Linked DNA regions of Tamandua tetradactyla. The main gene of each other region encodes a partner of the protein of the gene in region 3 in a complex. Links are inferred from orthologs where the notes say so. Each region holds a gene or a part of one and is shown on either strand. Other genes may lie near its edges. The genes, in order: S100A10, protein S100-A4 and ANXA2.

Region 1 (9,771 bases), on a different chromosome or scaffold from region 3:
TCTGATTCCTGCTGCCAAAAGATGTATGTTCAGTGCAGATTCCTAAATGCTGTCTTTTACAGAAGGAGGAGGAGTTGGTGCTGGGATTGAGCAATCACACTTAAGAATTGTAAATTCTGCTCCTTAACCCCCAGAAAAGTACGGGAACCAGCATGCCAAAGAATGTGCTACTCTAGAGAATACTGCAAGCCAGACTTGGTCATGAGTCATCGCGAAGGCCACCCTCTTGGAGAGCTGCTGCGAGGCTCAGCGAGAGGAATACCCGGGGAAACCACACCCTTTCCCCTCTCCTCCCACACAGCCCGGAGCGGGCGCAGCCCAGGTCCCTGGGTGGGTTTCAGAAGGCAGCGAGTTTAGGCGTCTGCCTTGCCTGCTTGGGGACTGGAAGTCCAGCCATGTGAGTCCTTTAAGGGAACAGAAGTGAGCCACGCATGGGAGAAGGACGTGGGATCCAGGTCCAGCTCCTAAATGACTCAGAAAAGGCGTCAGACACCACAGAGTTTAAAATGCCTGTGGCCACACTGCGAGTGGGAGAGCACCGCCCTATGGATTCCCAAAGGCCCTAGACATTGTCACTGCCTGGGGACACCGAGTTCACCTTCGCAGGCCGAGCGGCAGAAAACCCAGAGAAGAAGTAGGAAACGGAATGCAGCGCGGCTGAGCCCCTAAAACAGGCTAATTCAGGAACTATGAAGAAATACAAGTCATAAGCGGAACACCTTCGAGAGAGGGGCCAGTGTCCCTCCCCCCCGCAGGAATGTTTGGGTCTCGGGTCACCTGAGTCTCTCGGCCACACTATTTATGAAGTGACTGCGCTTTTGTCTCTGAAGCTGCCCACATCCCTGCCCCACTGGGCCGCCCTCCCTCCCAGCTGTTTAAATCAGCAAATGGATTGTGAACTCAGCAGCCGGCTGACTCCCTGTCTGTCCAGTAGACCTTCTTGCAACAAGAATGCAGAGAGGCCGGTGGGGAGATAAAAGACCCTGAAAGTGAGAACAAGCACTCCTCTTTAGCAGCCATTGCTCCAGAAGGCATTCACCAGCCAAGAACTGTTCTGAAGGAGCCAGCACACTGGTTTTAAAGACAAGGAGAGGGGGGAAATGTTGCGACTAAAACTCTGTTCTCTTGGAAAGTGGATGAATCACCTCCGTGGGCTCCTAGCCCTTCTCTGAGGCCTTGCTTGTGTGCAGGGAACTTCCCTTCTTGGGCGTGGCTTGCCCAGGCGTGGCTGACTGCAGCACGGACCGTTGGTGGCCGAAGCAGCTGTTCTTCAAGGGGCCTGCACCCTGCACCTGGACTTTCCATCCCCAGCCACCCTACAGGCTCTGGGGCAGGAGCGGGCTGGGTCCTGGTTGAGGGGAGGGCCTCGGGGCTGTGGCTGAGGGCAGCTGCACCCTCCCCGGGCCCAGACAACCGGCAGCACTCGATTGCGTGGAATGGCTTACCTGCCTGTCTCTTTTGTAGATCCAAGTTCCCTTGGTCTAAAGCTGTGAGTTTTTCTGCATTTATCTTTTAGCCACTAAATAGCCATTTGTTAAATGAGGGAATGACTGCCTCAGACAACTTCCTTGGCAGGAGCCGAGGTCTGAGTGTGATTGTTTAGGACTGGGCTGCAAACCTTAAACCTGAGCTCAAGGCTCGGAGCTGGGAGGGGCCAGGAAAGGGGCCGCAAAAGGGCTCACCTGTGAATGAAACAGTAGTGCACACAGGAAAAAATGCATGTCCTGCTAAACAGGTCTGGTCAGACCCTGGCATGCCTTTTTCCTCTTCTCACTTGTGCTGTTGTCACGTCTTTCTGTTTATCCCATCTTCTGCCTCATGCTCAATAAACTGGTAAGAATGAAACTGATACTCGTATGTACGTTTGAACCATCCTGGGAGTGACAGGGGAGCAGGGGCCCGCTTAGCACAGAGCGTCTGCTCCTGAGCAATCTCAAATGTTTGCTCTGGACCTATGCCCAGAACCGGCCGTAATTTCAAAGAGAACACTTCTCCTGAGCACGAGGTCGGATTTACTTTGCTCCTCTGTGCCTCACCCTTAGTCTCGCTGTCTTACAGCCCACCCAGAAAATAACTGGCGGGGTGTCAGTGATAGCAAACATCTGTTATTGAAAATGTGTTTGAGGTTTCCTTCCTTTGGCTTTGGGAATTTTGAAAAAAAAAAAAGCATTTAAAAATTTTTGCTTTCTGAAAATTGAACCAAAGAGGTTTTCATTGAATTTGATCCTTAAAAGGAATTCAGAAGAAATGAACTGAGGCAGTAGGTCAGGATCCAGGTTGTCTCTCAACTTTTTACCAACAAAACGTGTCCCTTAAGGAAGTGGACAGCAAAGGAAAGTTCCAGAAACATCCAAAAGGAAGAAAACTTAGACGCCTCCTCTGTCCCAATGAAGTACACCCATTTTGCTCTCATCAGGCATCAATCTGAACCAGTAAATAGATGTAGTTATTTAACGAAGAGACCGAAGTGCTAAGAACTGCTGTTAAAAATATTTAAATTCATTGTTTTTGCTTTTGATGGGAGATTCCTAAATTAAGTGCCAGGAAAAGGAGACTCTTAGGAATGCTCCTACGATTTTTGTCAAGCTTTCCCAGCACTCTGAATGCTAATTTACACATTATAACACTGAAAGGATTCCATTGTTTCCCTCTGGTTTTACTTTAAAAGACTTGACTGTATCCAGAGGCACACCAAGTGGGGAGTGTTCTAAAAAAGCCACATTTTTGGAACTGTCTGTGGAAAGCAGGGACGCACCCAGGCCCAACTCCACAGCTCCAGGCCTGACCTCGCGGGGGTGGCTGCTTGAGGCTGGCCAGAAGCCAGGCGTGGGGAGAAAGAGGACCCAAATGCCATATGCTCGGGAGAAGCCAGGAGAAGCATCACCTAGAAATCAGCCTGATACCAAACAACTGCTTTTTATACAGGAGAGCCTCAAGAAATTTTGAAAAACTGCAATAAGAAGCCCCAAATGGTGGATCAAGGACCTCAAGGAAGAAGCCAGCTTGGCGCTGTTGAGGAGAGTATTTACCATTTAGAAAGGGATGAATAAATAGAAACCAGATAGGAATCTGTGGGGGCAGGGCTGATGATGAAATTCCAAATGAATTATATGCACTGGTTCCTGCCCCACCCCCTGGCATTATCTTTTGCAATCTGCTGAAACAAGTTGGAAGCAAAGATCACTGCAGGGTGTTTCCATGAGTCTGACCCCACCTCTAAGTGCAGGATATAAAAATCTACTCCTGGAGGTTGAAATTCAAGCTGCAGAGGGAAAAAAAAAATCTGCAGCCACCGCAAACCTCTTAACGGGAAAAGCTACCTCCCAAGTAAAGCCGGGGCAGGCTGCCAGGCCTTAGGGACCCATAATGGGGTGGCATGGTCTCGCCATGACTCTGCCAATCTAATCACTGTCCTTACAGTTCAGGAAGATAGCTCTCCTTCAGACCGTGGGTCAGTCCTGGAGTGACTCACTTCCTCCTGGAAAATGCCCTCTAAGATGGCACAGTTCCCTTTTCCTCCAGGGAGTGTCTGTCCATCTGCAGAGTCTCTGGCAGCAGCAGGGCCCCGCCCACATGGTCTCACCGCTGAGTCACCAGCCCCTTCACCGCTAGAGAACCCCCAGCCCTCCGTGGTAACCCCACCCTGCAGGACTCCCAGCCCCGTGGGAGGGGGCGGGGCTGGGAGGGCGAGGGGAGGGCGGTGGGCTTAGAGTGACCCAGGCTGGCCTAGGGCTCTGCCGTGCCTGGCCTCGGGGTTCTGCTTGCTTTCAGTTCGGCGAGGCCGGCTGCAGGGTGCTGCCCGGGCCAGCCTCCAGCGTGGAGGGGGCACCCTGGCCCCACCGACCTCTGTCCCACGGCACTCGGCCAGGTTCATCTGGGCTGGGGAGAGCTGCCCTCCAGCCCGCCCTCGCCCGTCTCCCTCCCAGTCCTCTGATTTAGTTCAGATGGTAAGAAGGGGAAAAGTCCATCAGTGGAGAAACCAAGTCAGGCAGGGCCCCTGTCTCCTCGCTGTGCGGAGAAAACAGACGGCGCGCGCTCGCTGCGCAGTGGGGCCCCCGTCTCCGAGGCAGACAGGAAGCCCGACCCGAGGGCCCTGGCGCAGGTCTGAGGAGCATCCCGGGGAGGGCCCCGCCCGGCCCCCCGCCCCTGCTACCACCCCCTCCCCCCGAGGGCGCAGGACCGTCCAGCCCGGGGTGGGCACCTCTGGACAGAGGCGGGGCCCGCGAGGGCCCCCCCATGCCGCGGCCAGGACGGCGGGACGCGGCGTCTGGAAAAGCCGACAGCGTGGACGAAGGGCAGGCAGGCAGCGGCAAAGACCGGCTGACGACCGGGCGGGAGGAGGGCAGAGGCCCGGGCCAGGTCCCGCGGCAGAGGGCAGGCAAGGCAGGTGGCCCCGGCCGCGCGCTCGCGGGGCGGCGGAAGGCGCGGAGTGGCGGGGGGCGCGGGGCGCTCGGCTCGCTGGCCTGGGGTCGCGGGCTCCCGGCACTGGGGTCCGGGGGCTGCCCCGGGTGGGGACGGTCCGGGCCGCGGGCGGTGCGCGGGCCCGGCGGGGCTCACCTTGGCCGGAGGCGGCGGCGGCGGCGGCGGGAGCGGGGCCTCGGGAGCGGGGACGCGGAGCCAGTGAGCGGCGCGCGGCGGGCGGGCGCCTTAGTACGCGGGGCGGCGGGAGGGGCGCGGGCGGGAGGGGCCTGGCCGGGCCGGGCCCTCCCCACCCTCCCCTCCCTGCGCCGCCCACCCCGTCCCCGCCCCCCGAGGTGCACCGCGCCGCCCGCCGCGCCCCTCAGGACCTCCCGCCCGCCCGGGCTCGGCTTCGGAAACCCGGGGTCCGGCGGTGCCGGGGCGCGGCGCGTCGGCCAGGCGCAGAGGCGGCTCCTCCGCGCCCCGCAGGCCTAGGGACTGTTTCCCAGAAGACAGCGCCGGGAGGGGCGCGGGCAGAGGGCTCTCAGATTCCGTTCACTTCCGCGCTAGAAGCCGACCTGGGCGCGTCGGGGCCGGGAGGTGGGGGGGGGCTTGGGGGCGGTGGGAGGGAGGGGGATGAGGGAGGGGGTGGGGGTGAGGGAGGGGGTGAGGGAGGTGAGGGAGGGGGTGAGGGAGGGGGTGGGGAGGTGAGGGAGAGTGTGAGGGAGGTGAGGGAGAGGGTGAGGGAGGTGAGGGGGTGAGGGAGGGGTGGGGAGGTGAGGGAGGGAGTGAGGGGTGAGGGAGGGGGTGGGGAAGTGAGGGGGGTGAGGGGGTAAGGGAGGGGGTGGGGAGGTGAGGGAGGGGGTGAGGGAGGGAGTGGGGGGTGAGGGGGGTGAAGGAGGGGCTGCTTGGCTCTCCGCCCAGGGGCGTTTCCCCCTTTGTTGAACGACGGGTTTCCACCCCCTGGGTCCGCGTGGCTGCATTATGTCAGTAGCTCAACTTCAGATGTGGTTGATATCGTTAAAATCTAAGTTTTAAAATCTTTTTTTCGTTCATTAGCCAGCTCGGCCCCCCGAGCTCTTTTGCTTGAAGGCATACAGAGAAAACCTAAGTGTTTCTTAGCGATCCCTAACCGTGGACGTTTATTTTAACTGTGGACATTTATTTTAACTTTGTTGAATGCAAACTCCTAGCAGCTGCTGGCTGAAGAGGGCGCAGTCCCAAGGTCTGGGGTTTTCCTTCCTACTTAGTTCCTAGGGGAGGTCCCGAGAGGAGTGAGTGATCCCGAAGGAATCAGCCGACTGGGGAATCCTTCAAGCGTGGCCCTGTGACTAATCCTAGCAGCTGTCAGGAAAACCCAACTTAAGTTTCAGCTCTGACCCCCCTGGGCCCCTGTGCCGTCTCTTCCAGGGGACAGTTCCTCAGCCTTCCTGGCCCCAGGTCGCCGTCCCCAGTGGAAAAAAAACCCGGTTCCCCGTTCCAGGGAAGATTGCAGAGCTGAGCTTGCCTACTCCTGCTTACTCGTTTAATTTCCTCCTGTGGTGCCTAAGTGTTTCGGGATGCTTGCAGTGTGTGTCAGGCCCTTGGGATTCAGAGATCAGAAGACTCAGTGGCTTTCCTCAGAGACCCGGTTATTGTTAGGAGATCAGCAGGCAAGGAAAATGCAGGTGGGTAGTGAGGTGCAGGAATGGGTGGGACACTCCAGGAGCAGTGAGCAGCGGCGCCGGGTCACGCTGCAGTGGTCAGGGGAAGGTCCGGGAGGACGCAACCTTGGAGAGAAGTTTTAAAAATAACAGTAACTTCTGATCCTTTTTTTGGGGGGTGAGGGTGGGGGTGCCTGGTCCGGGAATCAAACCCACATGGGAGGTGAGCATTCTACCCCTGAACCACCCGTGCACCCTGATTTTTAAATCTGATTGTAAAAAGATTACATTCCTGTAGGTTTAGAAAATGCATCAGTGTTTAAGAAAGAAAAATTTATGTGTAAACTCATGAACTAAAGGTGAACATTTTCTTATATTTCCTTCGGTCTTTTTATGCATGTGTACATATGTATTTACAGATTTGTGATCACACTGATGTAAAATTATAAATTCTACTTTTGTCATGTAACACTTTATCCTTACTATTTTCATTAAATATATATATATTTTTCTCACTGCTGTTCATTAAATGTTAAAACATTAAACACATTTTACATTAAGTATTTGTCAAGACTGTGAGTATATGTGTGAGCATGAGCATATTTTATTGTGTATGATGCTGGAATGAGTTCCTTCATGTGACTTTCAAAAAAAATGCAGTTTTATTGTGATGTATACACCAGACAGATCATCACATGGCTTCTTTTTTTCCTCGGGTGCATGGGTTGGACTCAAACCCATGCTGGCAGCAGGGGGGATTGTTTTACTTAAGTGGATATTTTCCCACTTCTCTGTTTGATAGTAACAAGCTCCTGTCATCCAGTGGTGCTCAACGGTTTGCAGTTTTGCGGCTGTGGCCAGGAGGTCTGGCTGTCCCCAGAACGCCTGCCTCCTCTTCCAGGGTAGACTGCTGCCGGGAAGTGGCTGCCCAGCCGGGAGGGTAGACTGCTGCCGGGAAGTGGCTGCCCAGCGGGGGGTTACACGCCTGGCACCCCTTGCACCTGGGTGGGGCCTGGACTGGTCACCCACAGAATGGGACTTGAAGCATGTGTCACTTTCAGGCCAAGGCAGTCCGGAGGTGACTTTCCCACCTTCTTTCTCCACGTCTGCAGGACTCTGAGGCTCTGGGCCAGAGGAACCAGTCAGAAGGACCCTGGGTCCCTGAGTCACCCCGTGGAGGAAACTGCCTGCCAAGCAGAAGGCTCCCATTGGGCTAGCTTTGGGAGTGAGAAAATCTCGAGATTTGGGGATTTATTTGTTCAGCATGACCCTAACGCATACAGCCACATTCTTTTGAGTATTAGTATTTTTGGCAGCACAGTCAAAAGACTTGAGTTGCATGTTGAGTCATTACTGTATTATACCGATCACACTTCAGCACCGTGTCACTGCTTGGGCAGAGCCGTTTGCTGTCCTGACCCCTCTGATCTGGGAAATGCATTGTTTCTTTGTCTCTCTATGTATATCACATTGTACCCTGCACCAGTAGAAGCCTCACTCCATGTTTGTCTGCCCAGACATTGAGTTAACAGGGGAAATCACAATTGTAGCAAAGATACACTTTCCTGTCAGTTAAAACGTCCTATTAAGGAATCACAGCATCATGTCAGGTGATAACCGCTGATTTATGGATATCTAGTCAAGACTCGTTTGCAGGCAATCCAAAAGCCAAACCAACCAAACAAAAAACTCAAGTGTGAGATATAACTGATTACATTTCCCATATTTTTTTAACATTTAGGATGATTCCAACTTTTTGCTGTCATAAATGATTATATGTAGACCTGACTATTTCTTGAATAAACATCTCTGTCTATGTGCAATTTCCTTAGGACAGATTCCTATCAGAGGATATCAATTACCTTTGGTTTAAATGGGTTTTAAAGGACAAGTAGGAATTAGCCACACTAGAGGGAGGTACCTGAAACTGTTGAGCTGTGTTCCAGTAGCCTTGATTCTTGAAGATAATTGTATAACTATATAGCTTTTTAAAATTTTTAAAAAATTTTTGTTTATTTATTATATTTTTTATTTTTTTAAAATTTTATCTATTAAACATACCAACATACAAACACGAACATTCTTACCATATGATCATTCCATTCTACATACATAATCAGTAACTCACATATCATCACATAGTTGTATATTCATCACTATGATCATTTCTTAGAACATTTGCATAAATTCAGAAAAAGAAAGAAAAAGAAAACAGAAAGAAAATTCATAAATACTATACCCCTTACCCCTCTCTTTCATTGATCACTAGCATTTCAATCTACTCAATTCATTTTAACATTTGTTCCCCCTATTATTTATTTATTTTTAATCCATATGTTTTACTCGTCTGTCGATAAGGTAGATAAATGAAGCATCAGACACAAGGTTTTCACAGTTACGCAGTCACACTGCAAAAGCTATATCATTATACAGTTATCTTCAAGAAACATGACTACTGGAACACAGCTCTACATTTTCATGCAGTTCCCTCCAGCCTCACCATTACATCTTGAATAACAAGGTGATATCTACTTAATACGTAAGAATAACCTCCAGGATAACCTCTCAACTCTGTTTGGAATCTCTCAGACATTGTTGACACTTCATTTTGCTCATTTCTCTCTTCCCTCTTTCGGTCGAGAAGGTTTTCTCAACTCCTTGATGCTGAGTCCCAGCTTATTCTAGGATTTCTGTCCCATGTTGCCAGGAAGGTTTACACCCCTGGGAGTCATGTCCCATTTAGAGCGGGGGAAGGCGGTGAGTTTGCTTGCCGTACTGATAGAGAGAGGCCACATCTGAGTAACAAAAGAGGTTCTCTTGGGGATGACTCTTAGGCCTAATTTTAAGTAGGCTTGACCTATCCTTTGCGGGGTTAAGTGTTGCTTCCTATGAAATGGAGCTCGAACGATATTAAGGAATGATGAGAAAGAAAGAAAGAAACAGATGGGTTCAGGGGGTCTGAAGCTTAGAAAACAGATAACTTTATTTTTAATTAGTTCCTGCTTCTATATTGCAGGGTTTAGGTGACTAAAAGCAGGCATACATTTCGTGAAAAAAACAGAGTGCCTACTTATCAGTATATTACTCTCTACATACAAGAGATAGCTAACAAGACCTTGGGGCTTAAGAAAAAACAAACATTCTCTCCCTCTCAGGCTGTCCTCCAGTTAAGCAGATAGCAGTCTCCACAGTTTACTGCCGACGCCACTCTGAAGCCAGTTGCTCCCAACAAATTCTGCAGGTTTTCCATTAACCCTGGCTCCCACATATAAGTTTCATATGAACAAACCCCAAGACTGGGGGCTCAGCCTATTGCTTTGGTTGTCCCCCTGCTTGTGAGAATATCAAGAATTCTCCACTTGGGCAAGTTGAATTTTCCCCTTTTCTCACCATTCCCCCAAGGGGACTTTGCAAATACTTTTTTATTCACTGTTCAGATCACTCTGGGATTTATCAGGGCATCACTCTGGACAAACCAACAAAATCTCATGCCTTACTCAAGGTTCTGTGTACTGTGGTGTTCAATTAAGCTATCCACATAAGTTATATTAGAAAATGCACTAGTCAAAATAAAAATTTTGTACTAAATAAACATTTTTTGATACAGTCTCACACATAAGTTTAAGTTTTAAAATATGAATTACCATCCATTTTCAAGACCGTGCAGTAATGACATTCATTTGTTCTTCCTCATGCAAAAGCATTTTTAAATTTGTATGTTTAGTCACTA
Region 2 (9,544 bases), on a different chromosome or scaffold from region 3:
GGGGACTGAGGGTGCGGTCAGGGTATCATGAGTGACTCGGGCTGCCTCCTTGGGTGGAGGGTTCCTCTTTCCCGCCCCCTTCCCCCCCCACCCCGGCCTCGGGTTCTCTTTCTGTGAAATGGGGACGGGGGTCTCTCAGGCTCAGGATGGAGGAGGGAGACAAGTGACATGAAGGGACACCCATTTTTGGTAATCAATGTCAGCTGCAGCTGAAACCAGCTAAAAATGCTGGCTAGAGGGCAAAAACAGGAACAAAAACTTCAAAGCACTGAAGGGCTGGCCAGGCAGTAAAGAAGGACTGGGCTGAAGATAAAGTGAAGGCAGAACCAGGAGGTGTCTTGAGGGCGCCTGACCTTTGGCTTTGAGTGAGGAGGGTACAAGGCCAAGCCCAGGGCTCACCTGAAGAGACAAATGGGATCCCTGCCTCACTACCCCGCCGTAAAGCTGGGATGCCAAATTGCTACAGGTTTACGTTAACAACTAGAGGAAATCCCACCCCATGGGGCTGCAACGAGGGTTGCCTGGGAGCTGAACAGGGCTGGGGAGGAAAGAAAACCCCTGTGGAGCTCTAGCCAGGAGCCAGTCCGCCAGGCAGCCGCAGCCCCCACAGGCAGCCGCAGCCCCCCCAGGCAGCTTCAGCCCCCCCAGGCAGCTTCAGCCCCCACAGGCAGCCGCAGGCCACATTCATCCACTTCCCTTAGCCAGGAGGCAAGCAAAGCCTCAGGACAGACGACTGCAGGTGCCCCAGCAGTAACGCACCTTCATCCTATGCCTCAAAAATATCCTACAAATGACTTTCCAAGGAAAATGAGTGATTTACTCCAAAAAATGACCGAGCACGGAAGACGTGACCTGGGAAGCATGCAAGGGGGGTGCCTTGGCCTCCGCCTTCTCGTCTGTAACCGAGGGGTCTCACCAGACACTCTCAAGGTCTCCTCTGGCACAGGAGCTCTCTGAAGCACCAACCTAAGTGGATGCAAAGTGTGTCCCCCACTTTGTATTCTGGGGGTGCCTCTTCAGAGTGAAGCCTATAGACCTCCAAATGGGCAGGAGGCCAAACCCAGCTACTGACTCTGGGGGAGGGCAGCAGGGAAGTGAGAGGGGTGGGGGTGGGGTGGGGGTGGGGTGTCTGAGGCCCCAGGCTGGGTCTTTGATGTGTGCGTAGACAGGTGGGTGGATGGGGCCTGTAATAGAGGAAGCGGAAGGAAGGATACAGGGAGCCCCTGTGGGCATCCCCCATACTGACCCAGTTGGGCTCCCCATAATTGCTCTCTTCTTTCCTTGGGAAGCTACAAATAGGGATTCCCTGCCTCTGGGCTCTGACAGGTGAAACTCCAACACCAGTGGTGAGTGCCAATTGCTGCCCTGAGTTGGGTGTTAGGGGGTTTCAGGGGGCCCCCAATAGCCAGCCTGTCTTCTGGCCCAGGGCCTGGGCATAGGGGCAGGGGCTGGCCAACCGATAAGGTGAGGGAAGGCAGGTATGGCGGACTTGTGCATGCAAAGCTGAGGTCTGGCGCTGGGGGCAGAGCGGTGGGCTGGAAATGCAGGGGCTGCTCTCAATTAGCCCCCTCTCCCTCCTCTTTGCCTCCTTTGCTTTGTTTCTGGGGACCGGCTGAGATGGCTCAGGGCGGCCTAGGAAAGGAGGATTCCCAGCCCATCTCCGGGCACTGAACTTTGGAAACAGCAACAGCGGTGGCGCCAGGCAGGCTGGCAGCAGCCCAGAGGGCTAAGCACCTCCTGTGTCTCCCTTACTCCCTGGGATCTCAGTCCCTTCCTCCTCTGGGCACCTGGATACCCTGCCCCAAGTCTAGGCTATCACAGACAGTTAGCTGCCCCCCCCAGCCCCCCACCAGTCATGACCGTGAGGCCATTTGCTCCATGGGGTCTGCAGAAGGGACTCAGTAGGGAGAGAGCCTGGCCCCTGCTGCTCTGCGGTGCAGGGCTCCCGTCCCTGTCCCTGGGGGAGGCGGTGGTGAGTCACAGGCTCACATGGAAACAACTCTCCTGCCTGGCTGCCTTAGGGTTCCCCTGGCAGGGCATCGGCCCAGAAGGGTGGGGGGAGGGGATGGTGAAATTGGGGTTGGGGGGAGGTGGGCAACTCCAGGCAGCGCTTCTTGGCCTCTAACAGAACAGGGCACTTCTACAAAGAATCTTCTATCTCAAGAACCCCCAGGTCGGGGGTGGCCTCAGGGTGGGGCCATCAGGGTGGGGTCAGCACTGGAGCCAGCAGGGCCTCCGGAGACCATCTGGCCCGGATCCCCGGCTGGACCTGAAAGGCGGAACTAACCACATTTCACACACCAGGCTAGAGAGGGGCAGAGGCGAGCCTGGAGGATTTTCCTTGAGTTTGGGGAGGAGGGATTGTAGGGGAGGGTGTTGGGACGTCCCTCCAGGCCTCCCCCCACCCCCCAGCCCCACCTGCTATGTCCAGCTTCTCCAAACGCCTGAGGACAAGTCAGCCCTGGGTGAGGGTCTCTGTGCAAATTCTTACAAGAAGGAGCTCTGGGGTCCTGAAGGGGGCTGCATCTCAGAGAGTGGCACAGAGTGGGATTGCCACCTTCCTGGGTGCTGGGGGCTGAGAAAAGGTGGGATTCATCAGGAACCCGCAGGGGTGCAAGTGGTGGGGTGGGAGACACCCTCTTTCCTTGAGGGACATGCAGTGATGTTGGGGAAATAAGATCTTTGTTGAGAAAAATCACAAGGGGTGGGGGTGGGGAGGCAGTAATGAGATGAGTTAAGAGGAGCTGGTGGGGCCTAAGAGGGCTTCTCAGAGCTAGGGTAGCTTCTGGGGCCCCACACCTGACAGAGACTGAGAGAGGCCTGGGAGCACAGAGGGCAGAGGTGAGCAGGGACGCTGGCCTGGGACCCCACCATGAGTCGCCCTCTTGCTCTGTTGCAGAGAGAATGACCTGTCCCCTGGAACAGGCACTGGACACCATCCTGGAAGTCTATCGAAGATATGTCACCGCAGACGACAGGCCCACGCTTTGCCAGACTGAGCTCAAATTGCTGCTGCAGAGGGAGCTGCCCACTTGGAGGCCAGTGAGTACCCGGATGTGCCTCTCCTTCGAGTCTGCAGAGTCTGGGCCACCCACGAACAAAGGAAAGTGAGAAGGGAGGCTAGGAAGGGACCCACCTGGCAAGCAGGTGCCTCAGTTTTCTCCCCTGTAAAACGAAGTGACGACAGTCCCACCTGCTGCATTGGGAGGGTTGAGTGCAAACACCGTGAAGAATGCCTGGCATATAATAGGCGCTCAGTAGCAAACAGTTGGTGCTCAATAAATGATCTGAGAAGGAAGATTTGGAGTGGGTGGGCAGGGTTGAAATAGGTATGCAACTGGAACCGGCTGGCTGAGGTTGGCCCTCCGAAGCAGTGTGGATTGGGAGGAGAGGGGCTTCCTCGGAGGGGAGGGACAGAAGAGGGCCAGTCCCCCTCCCCCAGCTCCTCACCCCTCCCCCCCGCTCCTCACCCCTCCCCCACCTCCCGTCGCACAGACTGAGCTTCGGGAGTGTGACTACAATAAATTCATGAGCCTTCTGGACACCAACAAGGACTGCCAGGTGGACTTTGCGGAATACATGCGCGCACTTGCCTGCCTCTGTCTCTACTGCCACGTGGCTTGGAGAACTGTGCCCCGGAGGCTCCCTGCGCCCCGGAGACTGCCTGTGCCCAGTAGCCTGCGCCCAGGGGGCCGGGAGGTCCGGACTTGCCCCGCCTCTGCCCCGCGTGGTCCGGGGCAGGTCACCAACAGTCTCCCACATGCCCCTCTGCCCTCCTTCCTAAATCTCTCTTTTTTTCCTCTTTTTGGGGGTGTGTGTGTGCCTGGGCTGGGAATCGAACCGGGGTCTCCCACATGGCAGGCGGGAATTCTACCCTGAGCCGCCCCAGCACCCACCTATACTCTTTTTAATGAGGGATCTGCCAGGTCCACCCCGATATGCCGCCCCATATCATAGGCTGCGCCGCAGTGAGGGATACAGCAGCCGCGGGCCCCTCTGCGCCCCCTCTTCTGCCTCCCTGCTGCGATGCCGGGCCCGGGGGCGGGACGCGGGGCTGCTGGGGGGAAGTGAAGACCCGGCAGAGCGTGGCCCCAGTGAGGCCGAGCACCCAGGGGCCCAGTGAGACCGAGCACCCGGGGGCCCAGTGAGACCGAGCACCCGGGGGCCCAGTGAGACCGAGCACCCGGGGGCCCAGTGAGACCGAGCACCCGGGGGCCCAGTGAGACCGAGCACCCGAGACCCCAGTGAGACCGAGCACCCGAGACCCCAGTGAGACCGAGCACCCGGGGGCCCAGTGAGACCAAGCACCCGAGACCCCAGTGAGACCGAGCACCCGAGGTCCCAGTGAGACCGAGCACCCGGGGGCCCAGTGAGACCGAGCACCCGGGGGCCCAGTGAGACCGAGCACCCGAGACCCCAGTGAGACCCAGCACCCGAGACCCCAGTGAGACCCAGCACCCGGGGGCCCAGTGAGACCGAGCACCCAAAAGGCAGTTTAACTCCTAATAAAGAGCTGGTGTCAGCGTGGCTGGTTTGGTTCTGCTGAGAGGACAGGCCGGGTCTTGGGGCGGCCGCTGGCTGAGGCTCTGCCCTACCCGGGCCTTTGGGGGGAAGCGGGCAGCTGAGGGGCCCCCGAGCAGCCCACGCACCCCAGGGCCGTTTCAGACCCGGAGGAAATGACCTGGTCTCAGCAGCCCGGCAAAAGGGGTGGGGTCCCACGCAGTGACTCCCATCCTGGGGGAGGGGCCACAGGGCCTCTCTCTGGGGCCCCTGAGGGTGGAGTGCCCTCCAGGCGGGGCAGCCAGTGGTTCAGCGGGGACAGAAGAGCTGAGCTCGACCCAGCCCAGCCCTCGTGACAGGATGCTCTGAGGCGGGTGGGGCCGTGGGGCGGGGTGGGGGGGGTGTATGCCCAGCCCAGGGCTGAGGGAGCCCTGAAAACAGGATTCATGGGTTTAGGATGTCTGAAGTGTCTGCACCCAACCAAGGAGGGGTGCCCTGTGTTGGAAGGGGTAGGGGAGACCTTGGGGCAGACCCCATTCCTGAGGTCATAGTTACCGAGGGCCCAGACCCCCACTTCCGAGCTTCACTCTATCCCTGGGGTCCTCCCCCACCCTGAGCCTCAATGCCCCCGCCCCCGCCTCATCAGCTCAGCCCATCAGCCCAAAACCCCCATCCTTGAGCTCAAGCCCCTCCCTGGAAACTTAACCCTCATCCCTGACTTGTCCCTATGGGACCATTTCACCCCTGACTCCTGCCCCAACCTGGCTTCTGAATTCCTGACACGCACCCCTACGCCAGCCACCCCCACTCCCACCCCTGTCCCTAACCACCCCACCCTTGTTTCTTCACCCCATCTCTGAGCCCCGTCCCCCTCCACCACTGCATGCCACCTCACCCAGGTCCTTTGTTGACAGACATTCTGGGGCGTCCTGAGCCTGCTTTGGGTGTCAGCCAGTTCCCCGTCCTGAGTGCCCCCTGTTCCCCGACCCCATCACCATGGCAGGTGCCCTTTGGGGAGGGGAAGGGCTGATTGAGCCTGGGGCTCCCCACCAAGCCCCATACTGTCAGGGGCATTTGCCATCCTTCCCCCACCACCCCTGAACCCCTTTTCCCAGGCCCTCCTACTCCCTGACCCCCACATTCCATTCACACACCGCCCCCTCCTCTAGCTCCAGGAACCCCAGGTTGAGCTCTGTGCGCTGGGCATGCCCACCCAGCGGAGGTGTCTGCCCAGGCTCACTGGTGCCCACCCACTGTCCACCTGGGCCTGCCCGGGGGCAGGAAGCTTGGTTTCCTGGGCAGGATGGTCGAGGGGGCTGTGGCAAACATGGGCCCACAGCAGGAGGCCAGTCTCCCGCTTTCCCCCATCCCCTGCCATGGGCAGGGCTTGGCCCCGGGTATAAATAGGTCAGACCGCTGGGCTTTCCCCACTCTTCTGTCCCCAGCCCTCTCTCTTTGGCGCTTCCTCTCACTTGTCCTGGTGAGTTGTGGCTGCTTGGCTGGCATGCAAGGGGTGTCTGACCCAGGCTCCGGGGCAGGAGAAAGGGAGGTTGGTGGGGACCAGATGTGCTAAATGGATCCAGATGTGCAATTCAGATGTGGAGGCTCTGGGGTGGGATGTGTGTGTGCAAGAGAGAGAAACAGAAAGTGTGCAGGTGTACTGAAAGGCGGGGGCTGCAGGCAGTGTTGTTGGGGTGTGCTGTGGCATGTGTGTGACCCATGGCTTGTGCTTGCTGGGTTGCATATGGCCATGTGCGTACGCCCAGCAGTGGGAGGCAGATGGAGGCAGAAGGCACTGTGGGCTTCTGTCCGGCAGTGTCCCAGGAGCCTCTGCCCTGCACGGAGCAGCCCAGCCCGGGAGAGCCCGGCTTCCCCTCCCCTCCTCTAGTCTTTCTTCCCTTCTTTTTCCTTCTCTCTTCTCCCCCCTCCTCTTCTCCCCTCCCCTCCCATGCCTGCCTCTGCCACCTCACCCTGCCCCTCCCTAGGCCCGGCAGCTGGTTTTTTCCGCTCCAGGCCCCTGGGCTGGGCTCCAGCAGCCACACCCAGCCTGGAAGCAAGAAGAATGGCTCAGGGTGGAGCCGCTGCCCGGCTGGGGGAGTGGGGGGGTCTGTAAGGGGTGGAAACAACACTGTGGTTGAGACACGACCTGAGTGAGGCCCAGGGTGCTGGCGGCTTGAATCTCCAGAGCCTGTGCAGTGGACCCTGCCAATGTTTGCTGCCTGGAGCTTGCATCTCCCACTCTATACAGCCCCTGACGCCACCAGGAGCTGAGCCCCGCCTCTGTAGGCTCCCCCCACGGCAGGACCAGAGTCTCATCAAATGCTCCATGAGGGGTGGGGAGTGGGTTGGGGGCTGTGGATGCTTAGCTGGCACGTAGGGTAGATAAGGGTGCCTCTGTGAACCCCCCCACCCCCAGATCCTGATTGCTGCCATGGCGTACCCCCTGGAAAAAGCCCTGGATGTGATGGTGTCCACCTTCCACAAGTACTCAGGCAAGGAGGGTGACAAGTTTAAGCTCAATAAGTCAGAGCTAAAGGAGCTGCTGACCAGGGAGCTGCCCAGCTTCTTGGGGGTAAGTAGGTGCCCAGAAGAGGGGCGAGGCCCTGGAAGGTGCTAGTCTTTGCTACAGGTGGTATCTCTCACTGGAAGGGGGAAGGAGGGGGCAGAGAGCTTGCCCTGGCTGCCTTCAGAGAAAGACAGCCGGTGCCCAGCATGCACGGGTCCCCGGCGCAGGCTGATGGAGGGTGAGTTACCAGCTGGACGTGCAGCCAGGTGCTTTGTACTTATTATGTAACTTAGCTGAAGGGAAAGCTGACGCTCAGGGAGGCTAAGTAACTTTGCAAAGTGGTCCATGCATGCAACCGAGAGCTGCACCAGGACTCTTGCTGCCACTCTAGCAATGGAAAAATTTTGAGCTTCTATTTGGCTTGTGAATGTGCCGATGTAGCTATGGAGGCTGGCATACGCCTACAGATCTCCCCTCAAGCAATAAAGCAGCTCTCATCCATGTCAAACCGTCCCTTGTGTGCTGTTTTATGGCCATTACCTAAATGGAGTCTTAAAACAGCCTTGGGAAAAGATGTCCCGCCTTTTCAGTTGACAGCATCCAGGTAGGTATTCAGCAGAGTCCTTCTCACCCAAGGGACAGCCTCCTCCTGCACTAGCTTCGCCCTGAAGGTGGAAGGTCCTAAAGCCTGGGCTTCCCAAGGAGTGGCCAAGCACCTTCTCGAGCCCAGATCTGGGGGGGCACTCGGTTCTCGTCTGGGCTTCACTCCCTAGGCTATGGCGCTTGACCTGTCGCCTCCTCACCTGTCGCCTCCTCTCTCTCCAGAAAAGGACGGACGAGGCCGCCTTCCAGAAGCTGATGAGCAACTTGGACAACAACAGGGACAATGAGGTGGACTTCCAGGAGTACAGCGTCTTCCTGTCCTGCATCGCCATGATGTGCAACGACTTCTTTGAGGGCTTCCCCGACAAGCAGCCCCGGAAGAAATGAGTGACCCCGAGCTGCGGCTGCGGGGGCTTGGCCGGGCCTTGGCTGGGGGCCGTGGGGGCGGTGCCTTCCCCTGGCTCCTCCAGACTCGTGTGTGATGCTGAGCAACTCCAATAAAGAGTCTTGAAAGCTTTAAGGCTGCTGGTCTGAGAGACTTGGTGTGCGGGGTAGGGGCCGGGGGATACGTCCGGGGAAGGCGCAGGCTCATGGAGAGGCAGCTCAGCTGCAGATTTTTGGGGAGCAGACTAGTGGAGGGGAGCTGACCAGGATATGTGCATGGGGAAGGGGCCGGGGAGGACAGAGCTGGCTTTGGATGGCGCTAGGAGCAGGGAAAGGGACCACCGGAGACCAGGGGATCACAGCCAGCCAGCTCACCCCACCCACCCCTCTCCAATCTTGCCTGTGGCAGGACCTCTAACTGAGGCCCAGATGGGATGGAAGGTCACATCTGCTCCTGGTTGGGGTCTGGAATGGGCTTGGGTTGCCAGGGAGTGAGATGGAAGGAAGGAGTCATGGGGAGGGAAGGGGGGATGTAGCAGGCCGGGTGTGTGGGTGTGAGAGCCCGGGGCCACAGGGGGCGGGGAGGAGGGCTGGCCCGCAATCCTGACATTTGCAATCAGGACCCACAGGGACAGATTCATCCTTTCCTATCCATGGTTGGATAAGGAGGGAGACAGGGCTGTTCGCAGAAGTCATTCTCCAGTCCACTGTCCCTGGGATGAGATCTGCTATCAATTAGGAGTCACGTGTTTTCAGAGAAGGACAAAGGACCTGGTTGGGGTGGGAGGGAGATGGGGAGGAGGTGCCTGAAGTTTTGTTTTTTTCTTTTTTTTTTTAATTAACTTTTCAATTTTTAAAAAAATATGACAAGAAAGAAACCCAAACATTCTTAACATATGCTCATTCCGTTCTACATATATAATCATTAGTTCACAATATCATCACATAGTTGCATATTCATTGTTATGATCATTTCTTAGAACATTTGCATCAATTCAGAGAGAGAAATAAAAAGACAACAGAAAAAAATTCATACATACCATACCCCTTACCCCTCCCTTTCATTGATCACTAGCATTTCAACCTAAGTTTATTTTCACATTTGTGCCCCTTATTATTTATTTTTATTCCACATGTTTCACTCGTCTGTTGATAAGGTAGATAAAAGGAGCATCAGACACAAGGTTTTCACAATCACACGTGACTGAAGTTTTTGAGACAAAAATTCCAGACACATGATCTGATAAATGAAATTGAGATTTCTCTCCGCAGGAAATCAAGCATGTGTTGCTTCCACTTCGGGGAGACTAAGGCTCAATGGGCTGCAGGGGCCGGTGGGTGGGTTTCAAGTTAGACCTCAAGGCCATGCCCGGATGACGCGGGGCACCTTTAAGGAAGAGGTGAGTCAAGGTCAGGCCAAGAAGCAGGATCTGGGGCCATTGGCCCATCAAACTCTCCCCTTTCCTCTCATCCCTGTTCTCCTCTCACATTCCACATTCACAGGAAAGGGGCACGTGACTCAGCGGTTCCCTTAGAATTTGGCTACAGAGA
Region 3 (9,747 bases):
TTACTGGAATCATTTAAAAGAAGCAGCACTTTGGAAAAAGTGAGAGAACAACAAGAGAGAAAGCCAGGAGGTTCAGAGAGAGCAGAGAAGACCAACAGAGCCACGAGAAAGCCACAACAGAGAACGCCGCAGAACCGTGAGGCAGAGAGGCCACCAGCCAGCGACTTTGGGAGATGAAGAAGGAAAATGCCTCCTGGGGAGCTAGAGAGGAAACTAGCAGATGACGCCGTGTTTGCCATGTGCCCTTCCAGCCAAGAGAGAAACCCTGACCATGTTTACTGTGTGCCTTTCTGAATAGAGAAACCCTGAACTTCATCAGCCTTCTTGAATCAAGGTATCTTTCCTCGCATGCCTTAGATTGGACATTTCTATAGACTTGCTTTGTTTGGGACATTTCCACAAATTAAAAACTGTTAACTTGCAACTTATTAAATTCCCCTTTTAAAAAAATCTATTCCATTTCTGGTATAATGCATTCTGGCAGCTAGCAAACTAGAACAGTTCTGTTTCACTAGAGAGCCCTGGCTAATATACTCATCTTCAAGTTCACTGGTTCTTTCTTCTGCCAGCTCCAATCTCCTGTTAAATCCCTTTTAGGTAAATTTTAATTTACCTTACTGTGATCTTCAACTCTGTTCCTTTTTATTATTTCTATTTGTTTACTGATATTAACTTTTTTCATCTATCATTTTTCTGATTTTCTTTAGTTCTTTGTGTTTCCCTTTAGTTCTTTGAGTATATTGAGGACAGTTTTTTAAAGTTTTTGTCTGGTTTTTGCTCAAGCTCTGACTTTCATCACTGATGATTTCTAAAGTTTATCTTGCTCCTTAGCATGGGCCACCATTCACTGTTTCTTTTTATAGGGCATTCCACATTTTAATATGTTATTTCTTGAATTTAGTCACTGAGGTATCAATTTCTTAAGCTTATATCAAGCTAATATTATGACAGAGATTTCCTTGAATATCAGGATCTAACCAAAAAAAAAAAAAAAAGAAAGAAAGAAAGAAAAGAAGAAAACACCTCTGCCAGTCTTTATAGATTATCACGTGTAAGTGCGCTCCTTCTGAGTTTAGCTTGCTTAACAATAAGTTTAGAGAAGCCCAAGGTGAAAACATAGGTTCTTCCCTGGTCTTTACTGAGAATGTGTCATGTCCTAGGCATGAGTGCATGGCCCTCTACTTCCTCCATTACCTGGATCCCAATGTCCCTTCCCTCTAGGAAATACCTTCCCTTCCAGGTCTGAGTGCTACACTGCATGTCTTAAACCCAGCAATCCTTTGCCCCAGGCAGCTACTATTTGATTGTTCTCCTACATCATTCTAGCTCCCGTGTGAGTCATCTCTACATGCAGGAGTCCCAAGCTCTGGAACAGTAAGCCTGCCGTGAGCTTCCTGGTTCAGTCCTTCACGCTTACACCAGACAGCCTGATACAGACACGCATGCGCCCTAGGAGGTGCAGAAGGTTACTTTGTTCCCTCTGGAACTGGGACCAGGGACTCATGCTGGAGAATGGGCTCACCCTCAGCAAAGAAGTGGGTGAGAAAAGGACCAGCAAGGGCACCTCAAGGTTTTCCTATAATTTTTAAGTTGCCGTTTTCTTCTTTTGGGGATTGCCCTGACACTTAAATCCTTTGTTTTTCAGACCTCTGAGAATTTGATGTTTAAAGCTTCTGTGGAAGCTTGCTTAAAACTTCTGTGGAAGGACAGAACTCATCTCACTCCACCATCTTGGTGATTTCACTCTCAGCCAAAACAGTTTTTTTAAAAGGACAAAGTTGGAGGACTCACACTTCCCAAATACAAAACTTACAAAATGTACAAGATGACCTGGCAATTCCACTCCTAAATACCCAAAGAAATTGAAAACTGTGATTCAAACAGTACTTGTACACCAATCTTCATAAGAACATTATCCACAATGGCCAAAAGGTGGAAGCAGCCCAACAGTTTATCAATAGATGAGTGGACAAAATAAATGTGGTACATATACACAATGAAATATTATTTGGCCATGAGAAGGAATGGAGTTCTGAGACATGCTGCAACATGGATGAACTTTGAAAGCATGATGCTGAGTGAAATATGCAAGGCACATAAGGATAAATACTGTATGATTTCACTTATATGAAATATCTAGAAATGGAAAATTTGTAGACAGAAAGTTGATCAGAGGTTACCAGAGGATGGGAGGGGGCAGGTAGGTATAGGGGATGTTGTTACTCGGTAGGTATAGTGTTTGGACAATTTGAAAATTTAAAAATGAAATTAACTTTTCAAAAGTTTATTAGTTTGTACAGTCTTCCTCATTACACAGTCCACATCTAGTTTATTCTTGCCAATAATTATAAAAGCACAAACAAAAAACAGAAAAAAGAACCCAAAAGAAAATAAAAACTGAGCATAACAGCAGATTAAAGCAGGGCAAGTGCAGACCATATTCAGCTCAGCACTTGTTTTTCTACAGGCTGTGAACTAAGAGGACTGGCAACTTCGACTTTGGCTTCTTGAAAGCCAACTGCCATGACTACGTTGGAAGAGAGAGAGAGAGAGAGAGAGAGAGAGAGAGAGAGAGAGAGAGAGAGAGAGAGAGAGAGAGAGAGAGAGAACCTGAGAGACCAAAGGAGAGGCCCAGCTAGCCCTCAGCCATTCCAGCCACCCCAGCTGAGGCACCGGACAAGAGAATGAAGCCACTTTGGGTCCTCCCCAACTCTGCTTGAGCTGTCCTAACCAAAACCAAATGGAGCAGAGCAAATTGTCCTGAGCCCTGCCCAGACTGAAGAATCATGAACAAATACATGATTGCTTATGTTTCAGCCACTATGTTTTGGGGTAATTTGTTACATTGCAGTAAGTAACTGATATAAGGACTTACTTGGGTGCATTATTTAATCTCTGGAGTGGGCAGGTTTTATTTGGGCTCCAGTTTCTCTATAAAAATCAGGGACTGAACAGGTTACTCTCTGAGTTTCCTTTCTGCTCTGTTTTATTACTCTGAATAATTTTTTTCTATCATTCTATTACATTTTAGTGAATGCCTATCAATGCTAATAGAGGCACTGTTAAAGTTGTTGAGATACAGCAGATGAGAAATAAAAAAATTGAAATCTGAGGTCTCCCCAACCGTGAAAACAGAAGGAGAAAAAAGGAGAAGAAAGCAAGGAGAATCTTTAGAATTGAAATGTCAGAATTTCTTGTATACTGGTAGAACTGGCCTCACATTCCTCAGAAATAGCAAATCATGACTTTCAGTAACTTCATTTATGTGGTAACCCCAGTGCAAAGTTCTTTAGCATGCAGCAAACAATGACTGTTGCACAGTTTGGATTTGCAGGATGACCAGGGTAAGTAAAAAATTCTTTTGGATACTTGGTGTCTTTTATACATTCCACATGATTTGAATGAAATGTTTTCTTCCATAATGGGCTAACTGTAGCACAATTAGCACCAAGAGGCTGCGGAATCTGCCTCAAGAACTAGAGAAGGAAGGCAGAATTATGCACACTATTATTTTCTGGCTGGCTTCCCCAATGTTTCAAAATGCTCACTGAATAGGGAAACATAGTTTCTGCCTTCAAGGCTTTCACTTTAAGTTGAAGAACCATAAATGTAGGTCAGAAGTGGTATCAAAAGTGTTGCTTTATGAAACCTAGTGTGGATGATAATGGTGGCTAATTATACAAATATAAGAAAAATTTTTCCATGAACTAGAACAAATGTATGTCACTATTACAAGGTGTCACTAATGGGGTGGTATATGGGTAAAAATACAATTAATGCAAACAGGTTTATAGTTAACAGTGACGTTGTAATATTCTTTCATTAGTTGTAACAAAGACACTGTACAAAAAGTAAATGTCAATAATAGGGGGATATAAGGGAGGGCTGTAGGATTTTTCTTCCTCTTTAGAAGAAATGGGAATGTTCACATATAGATTGTGGTGGTGAATGCACAACTATGTGATTACACCAGGAGCCATGGATGATAGTACACTTAGGATGGATTGAATGCTGTGTGAATAAACTTTAAAAAAAAATAAAACAAAAACACTTAAGGGATCTATTCTCCTTTTGCCCTTCTGATGGGACCTTTGACGTATACTTTCTTGTGAAAGAACTGGGCAACAGTGAGTTCTAGGCTGAGGGTCCAGAGACCCCAGTTCTGGTGTGAATTTTGCAGCTAATTGGCGGGTTAACATGAGCATGGCACTGAGAGTCTTCTGACCTTAGCTTCTTCTTCTATGGGCACTGGATGATCCTTCTACCATTCTCTGATTCTTCCCAGGAGTGAACTGACGCTTAACTGAAAGCAAAAATGGTTGTGCCGAAAGACGCAGCAACATCAGGTCTAGAAGAAAGAACTGTATGAAGTGAGAGTACAAGAAGGAAATTCAAAGGCGCAGCATTCCTGCTAGTTTGAGGTTTAACACAGTATTTGCTCAGTCACACACAAACACATTTGTTGGCCTACATGTTGCCAATGTTAGCTCGTGGAAGCAATGCAAGGAAAGGAAAAGCAAGAAACTGAGCAAAACCGAGGGAGAGCGGGCCAAGCGGCTGGGAAAGAATGGCAGTAATAAAAGAAGGAAGGCAGGAAACGCCTTTGCTGGAACTCGGGGTTCAAAGCCACCGGCCCCACCCAGTCCGGGACGTCCTGCCCCAAGGACTCGCGGGGCTGCCGGACGCTCGGGTGTGGGACCCGATCCTCATTCGGACCCCGGCCCAACGTTTGGCTCGGGCTTCGGCCTTCCGGGAGCTCGCAGCCCCGGCTCTGGCGAGCCCAATGCTGGAAGGCCGGGGCGGGCCAGACTGCAAGGCAGGGCCTGGCGACTCGCCCTCCCGCGCTCCCGCTCCTCCCGGGAACTGCCGGCTGGAGGGGAAGCTAATGTGTTTGCAGAGGTAATGGATATCTGGATGCAAACGGCCTTAGTTCAGGCGAATCACGACGGATGCTTCTTGGAACAATTGTTTTCTCCACTGCATTGACGCGGAAAAAAAACCCAATAAGTGACTTAACTAAGCCCACAGTCCACTTAAGTGCCAACTTACTAACCCAAGCCCCGGCTGCGAACCCGACGTGGCGCTCCTGAAGGGAGAAGAAACAAGGCCGACAATGGGCCTCGAGGAAGCCTGAGCGTCTCGGCGGGGCTTTAAGGAGGGTAGGGGCGTGGGCGTGGGGGCCGCTCCCTCGTGGCGCGGCCCGGAGAACTTTCCTGGGCGAGGCTGCCCCTGCGGGCGGGCGGGCCCGGGAGGGTGAGTCACCCGGAGCCCCGGTGGGAGCGGGCAGGGGGCGGGGCGGGGCGGGCCTCGCCTGGCCGAGGGAGGATGTGGCGGGTATAAAAGCCCCTCCCAGGCCGGCCGGCTCCGCTCGGCATCTGGAGACGCCTGCAGTTTCGCCGACCGGCCCAGGTAAGCGGGACGCACCCGGCCCGCCCGCTATGGCCCCGGGGCCGCCGCGCTAGCGGGTCCAAAGCGCAGGGGAGGAGGCAGTGGCCTCGTAAAGAGACGGGGACCCGGGAGGCCATCCGGGAGAGGGGCACCTCCGCAGTGGGGGGGGGGGGGGGCCTGTGTGCGGGCCCGAGCGGCGCCGGGGCCTGGGGCGCAGCGCGGAGGCGGGGGTCGGGCCCCGCAGGCCCGGCAGGGAGCGCGGGCGACGCTGCCCCGGGGAGGGGAGCCCAGGGAGGCCAGGCATTCCAGCGGCGCGAGGCCCGCGCGGGGCAGGGTGTGGCCGCCCGGGGAGCGGCGGGTCGGGTGCGGAGCAGTTGTCCACGGGCATTTCCCTCCACATTTAACAAAAGCTCTCCCGCCATCTAGAAAGTAATCTCCATTTGTTCCAAGTTACTTTACTCGAAAGAAACGCACGTTTGTGGCGCTTGAACCGACCGCAGCAGGAAAGCACTGGGGAGAAGAAGGAAGGGTGGAAGTTCTGGGCAGCAGGCCATTCCCCCTCGCCCCCCCTAAGTAAAACCAAAACTACAACATAACCTAAAAAACCTCAGCTCATTTTCTTTTGTCCAGATTATCTTGTAGGATAGCAACTTCTGATTTCAGTGTTTCTGGAGATTTTCTGTTGATTGGGAGTCACTCTCAGCCTGGTAGAACACATCTGCATCAGGAAGTGCCCCCCCCCCCACCGTTGTTCTGTGGGGAGCCTGGGCTTGACTGTTACTCGGATGATGCGACAGTGAGTCAGGGACTAAGGGTACAGAAAAGGGCGTGGCTCCCCGCCCGCTCCCCGCAGCTCTGGGAGGCCAGCGCCAGCATCTGCTATGGGACGCTTGGGTTCCTTATCTGCCAAGAGTAGTTCAAGGCTACCCGTTCTTATTTCCATCTGCACAGGGTTATTATTGCAGGTTTCGAAAACCAATAAGTACATTTGGAAAGTACAGTGAAAACGGCAAGTGCAGTACCAGTACAAAGTGTCATCATTGCGATAAGATTTGCTGTTTGTGATTTATGGATGCTGAATTTGTATGTAAAAGAGTCGGGCCTCGTAGGTGCACATTGGGTCTGTCTTTGCCAGACTCCTGGAGTTCAGGGTCCCTGGGCCTTTGAATTCAGACTGCTTCTAATAAGGATTCTTTCCAAAAGTGGGTGTCACTTGCCTGCTTGGAGCTTGGTGGTGTGGAATGCAGAATGTTCTGTCCCACTGTAACAATGTTAGAAGAATGTGCTTGAGTTCCCAGGCTAGCCCAGAAGATCATTTTTAACGTGCACTGTATCTAAGTACTGATACTGCATGCCTGATGTGGGTGTGGGGAACAGCCTGAGGAGGATATGTGGGTAGGGAAAATGAACAGCTGGAATGTTTTTAGTTTCAAGACTGGTCTTGATTAAACTATTTTAATGAGAAAATTACGTATTTGTCCCCTCTCCTCTTTCTTCTCTCGGCCTTCCTCTAACTTCTTTAGAGACCGGTTCTTCCAACATGTTACAAACCATTCTGGTTTTTTCAGTCTTGCTGCATTCGCTCCTCTGTCCATTTCAGTATAGTTGTACCCAGCTAGGGGATTAGCAGATTGAATCAATATTCATTAAATTAGGATTTGTTTTGTGGTCCCCAAATCCTCAGCAATCCGAAGGAGTTACGTTATTTAAAAAACAACAAAAACTGGTCAATCAGATCTTTAATTTATAGAATTTGAAGCTATGGAATCAAGGAATAATAATATTCAGACAGTGTGAAGGGAAAATTTAGGTGAAGGTGAGGTTTAGAGAGGCAAACTTGAAGAAGTGTCCCTGTGGCCAGTAACAGTAAAGACATTTCAGTTTAGCAGTTTTCTCCCTTCCTCTACGTGTACCTGTTATCTAAAAGTGTCAAGGTTTTCTGCAGAAGTACTCATCGCATGGGCAGTGCAAGGGTGTGGCCTTCTACGTGTATTTTTTCAGTTATGATTTGGATACTGCCAGGCTTTTGTCATTTCCTGCAGTACCACCTGACCTGCCTGCAGAAAATGCGCAGGAAATATAGCTGACTCACTGGCTTTTATTAGCAGCTGAATTATGGACTGGAATCTCAGTATTTAAAGTATTGATTGACATTAAGCTTGCAGTAATGGCCATTAGTTTCCTGGCTGATTTCTCATTTAAGTGTTTTTCCTGGCAAGGTAAATATTCCATAATTGGCTATTGATTTTGAGGGCTGTAGGCACTTCCCACCCAGGTGGGCATAGTGTCTGGGACTCGCACCCTGCCTTAAGCCTTTGTTCTAGCTCTTTCTTGTGCAGGGTTCTGAGCCCACTGAGGAGTCCCAGGGTCCAGAGGGCTGTCCTAAGCATCCATTCATTGAACAAAATATTTTTTAATTACCTGTATTTGTGATTCACAGTTACAGGCACTGGGAATATAGCAGTGAATAAAACAGACACAAAAATTCCTTCTCTTGGAGACCTTACTTCTAGCAGGAAGAGAAAGAAAAGAGACACAGTAAGTGACTCGTATAGACAGTTATCAGATTTTAAATATGACCTTTACTTAAAGTAATGTGAGATTTCAAACTTGGCTACAGATCCAAGCATCCTATTAAGACCGCCTCTCGGGAAGCTTTATATAAAGCTAATCCTGACTTTTAACTTGCTTTCCAGATTTGATTGTGAGAACTAAATAGAGTGGTGTGTACCTCTTTCTTTTTTTTAACAGATGGAATTCCACTTCCCTCATTTTCCCTGGTGCCACACCCTATTCTAGTTGTAGGCCACACCAGAGGAAATTACAGTTCTTTAAAAAAATTCTTTCCGCCCATTCACTATCGGGTATATTTTTCCCTCTCCAGTTGCCAGAGGTAGTCCCCAGCTACTTTGTTGAGGGGTCAGGTCAGCAGTAGGAATCAGGAGATACCCAGGCTTGTACTTCTGGGTGAAATCTGCCAAGATTACCTCCAAATCTCTCTTCTGTTGTACACCCGCAAGCTTTTAAGTCATTTTCACACAACCCTGACCAGAGGGCAACTCAGTAGCACCCAAGGGGTCTGAGTTCGAATCCCAGATTTGGTGCCGAAAGCTCTGACTCAAGGGGGTGCCTGTGATATGGAACCCTTGCCCCTCCTCTCCCTGCCACACCCAGTCTCCACACTCCTTAGCTCAGAAGGTCAGAGTGTTAAGGCCACTTGTAAACCCTGCCTCCTTACCGCCCCCTGGCTTTAAGTGCTGAAAGGAGACGTAGGTTGCAATTCCATGTTGTCCTGAGGACAGAGCTGGGATCCAAGCAGCCCTGACTGTTCAGAGTAGGGTGCTGGGCTTGGGGTAGGGGGTAGGCTGCAATCACCATGGGAAAGAGGCTGCTCCTGGGGCACACGATCTGCCAGACTTTGCAAAGATTGACACAGAGGCTGGGGATTTAAACCTCTAGCTGCAAAGGTAGGGAATTGGAGCCGCATTTAACACGTTCAGTCTGAGGAAGAGAGAGAAAATGGAGGAAGAAGCGTGTGTTGGAATAAGTAAATTAAAAAAAAAAAAAAGGAAGAAAAAGAAAAGGACCATCTAACACGGAAAGGCCCAGTATATGTAAACCATTAGAGTACAGAATGGACGCTAACTGTGTGCTGTGCTCATTACAATAAGATGCGAGTCCTCGCTACCCTACCCCTCCCTGCATGGGACATGACTCCCAGGAGTGTGGACCTTCCTGGCAACGTAGGACGGAGATCCTGAAATGAGCTGGGACTCGGCATCAGGGAATTGAGAAAACCTTCTCAACTGAAAGGGGGAGGAGAGAAGGAGACAAAATGAAGTGTCAGTAGCTGAGAGATTCCAAACAGAGTTGAGAGGTTATCCTGGAGATTATTCTTACGCATTAAATAGATAGCACCTTTTTAGTTAAGGCGTAACTGAGAGGCTGGAGGGAACTGCCTGAAAATGTAGAGCTGTGTCCCAGTAGCCATGTTCTTGAAGATGATTGTGTAATGATACAGCTTTTGCAACATGACTGTGTGATTGTGAAAACCTTGTGTCTGATGATTCTTTTACCTACCTTATAGACAGATGAGTAAAACATATGGATTGAAAATAAATAAATAATAGGGGGAACAAATGTCAAAATAAATTTAGTAGATTGAAATGCTAGTGATCCATGAATGGGAGGGGTAAAAAAAAAAAAAAAGATGCGAGACCTGCTGGCAGATAGAACAGAAGACGGCGTTTCCATGCTCAGTTCTAATATTTGGCAGGAGCACAGAGCAGGGACGTGTAGCATGAGAAAAGGTAGCATCGATGACTGATTTTTGAATCCTGTTCACTCATTAAGAGATCA

The links.
Region 1: the proteins of ANXA2 (region 3) and S100A10 are in contact, whole or in part, in a crystal structure (PDB 4FTG), measured with the Homo sapiens proteins. The link is inferred for Tamandua tetradactyla from reciprocal best matches to the Homo sapiens genes ANXA2 and S100A10. Residues at the interface, in NP_001002857.1 of Homo sapiens: Val4, Glu6, Ile7, Leu8, Lys10, Leu11, Ser12, Leu13; in NP_002957.1 of Homo sapiens: Phe39, Gly41, Phe42, Asn45, Gln46, Ala51, Lys54, Ile55, Leu79, Ala82, Cys83, Tyr86, Phe87, Met91.
Region 2: the proteins of ANXA2 (region 3) and protein S100-A4 are in contact, whole or in part, in a crystal structure (PDB 5LPU), measured with the Homo sapiens proteins. The link is inferred for Tamandua tetradactyla from reciprocal best matches to the Homo sapiens genes ANXA2 and S100A4. Residues at the interface, in NP_001002857.1 of Homo sapiens: Leu13, Glu14, Pro21, Ser22, Ala23, Tyr24, Ser26, Val27, Lys28, Tyr30, Thr31, Asn32, Phe33, Glu36, Arg37, Leu40, Thr44, Gln69, Asp70, Phe73, Arg77, Arg78; in NP_002952.1 of Homo sapiens: Lys35, Leu38, Pro43, Ser44, Phe45, Leu46, Gly47, Lys48, Arg49, Thr50, Asp51, Ala54, Phe55, Lys57, Leu58, Asn61, Leu62, Gln73, Phe78, Cys81, Ile82, Met84, Met85, Glu88, Phe89, Phe93.

The regions. Positions count from the first base shown.
Region 1 is NC_135330.1:3,154,557-3,164,327, reverse strand, and holds the start of S100A10 (protein S100-A10), read right to left. Parts: upstream 4,636-9,771; 5' UTR 4,558-4,635; intron 1-4,557. UniProt on the Homo sapiens protein: Because S100A10 induces the dimerization of ANXA2/p36, it may function as a regulator of protein phosphorylation in that the ANXA2 monomer is the preferred target (in vitro) of tyrosine-specific kinase.
Region 2 is NC_135330.1:6,366,980-6,376,523, reverse strand, and holds protein S100-A4, read left to right. Parts: upstream 1-5,917; 5' UTR 5,918-5,980; intron 5,981-6,916; 5' UTR 6,917-6,931; coding exon 6,932-7,072; intron 7,073-7,831; coding exon 7,832-7,996; 3' UTR 7,997-8,129; downstream 8,130-9,544. UniProt on the Homo sapiens protein: Calcium-binding protein that plays a role in various cellular processes including motility, angiogenesis, cell differentiation, apoptosis, and autophagy.
Region 3 is NC_135340.1:76,389,031-76,398,777, reverse strand, and holds the start of ANXA2 (annexin A2), read left to right. Parts: upstream 1-4,882; 5' UTR 4,883-4,899; intron 4,900-4,919; exon of another isoform or gene 4,920-5,159; intron 5,160-5,301; exon of another isoform or gene 5,302-5,409; intron 5,410-7,828; exon of another isoform or gene 7,829-7,926; intron 7,927-9,747. UniProt on the Homo sapiens protein: Calcium-regulated membrane-binding protein whose affinity for calcium is greatly enhanced by anionic phospholipids. It binds two calcium ions with high affinity. May be involved in heat-stress response.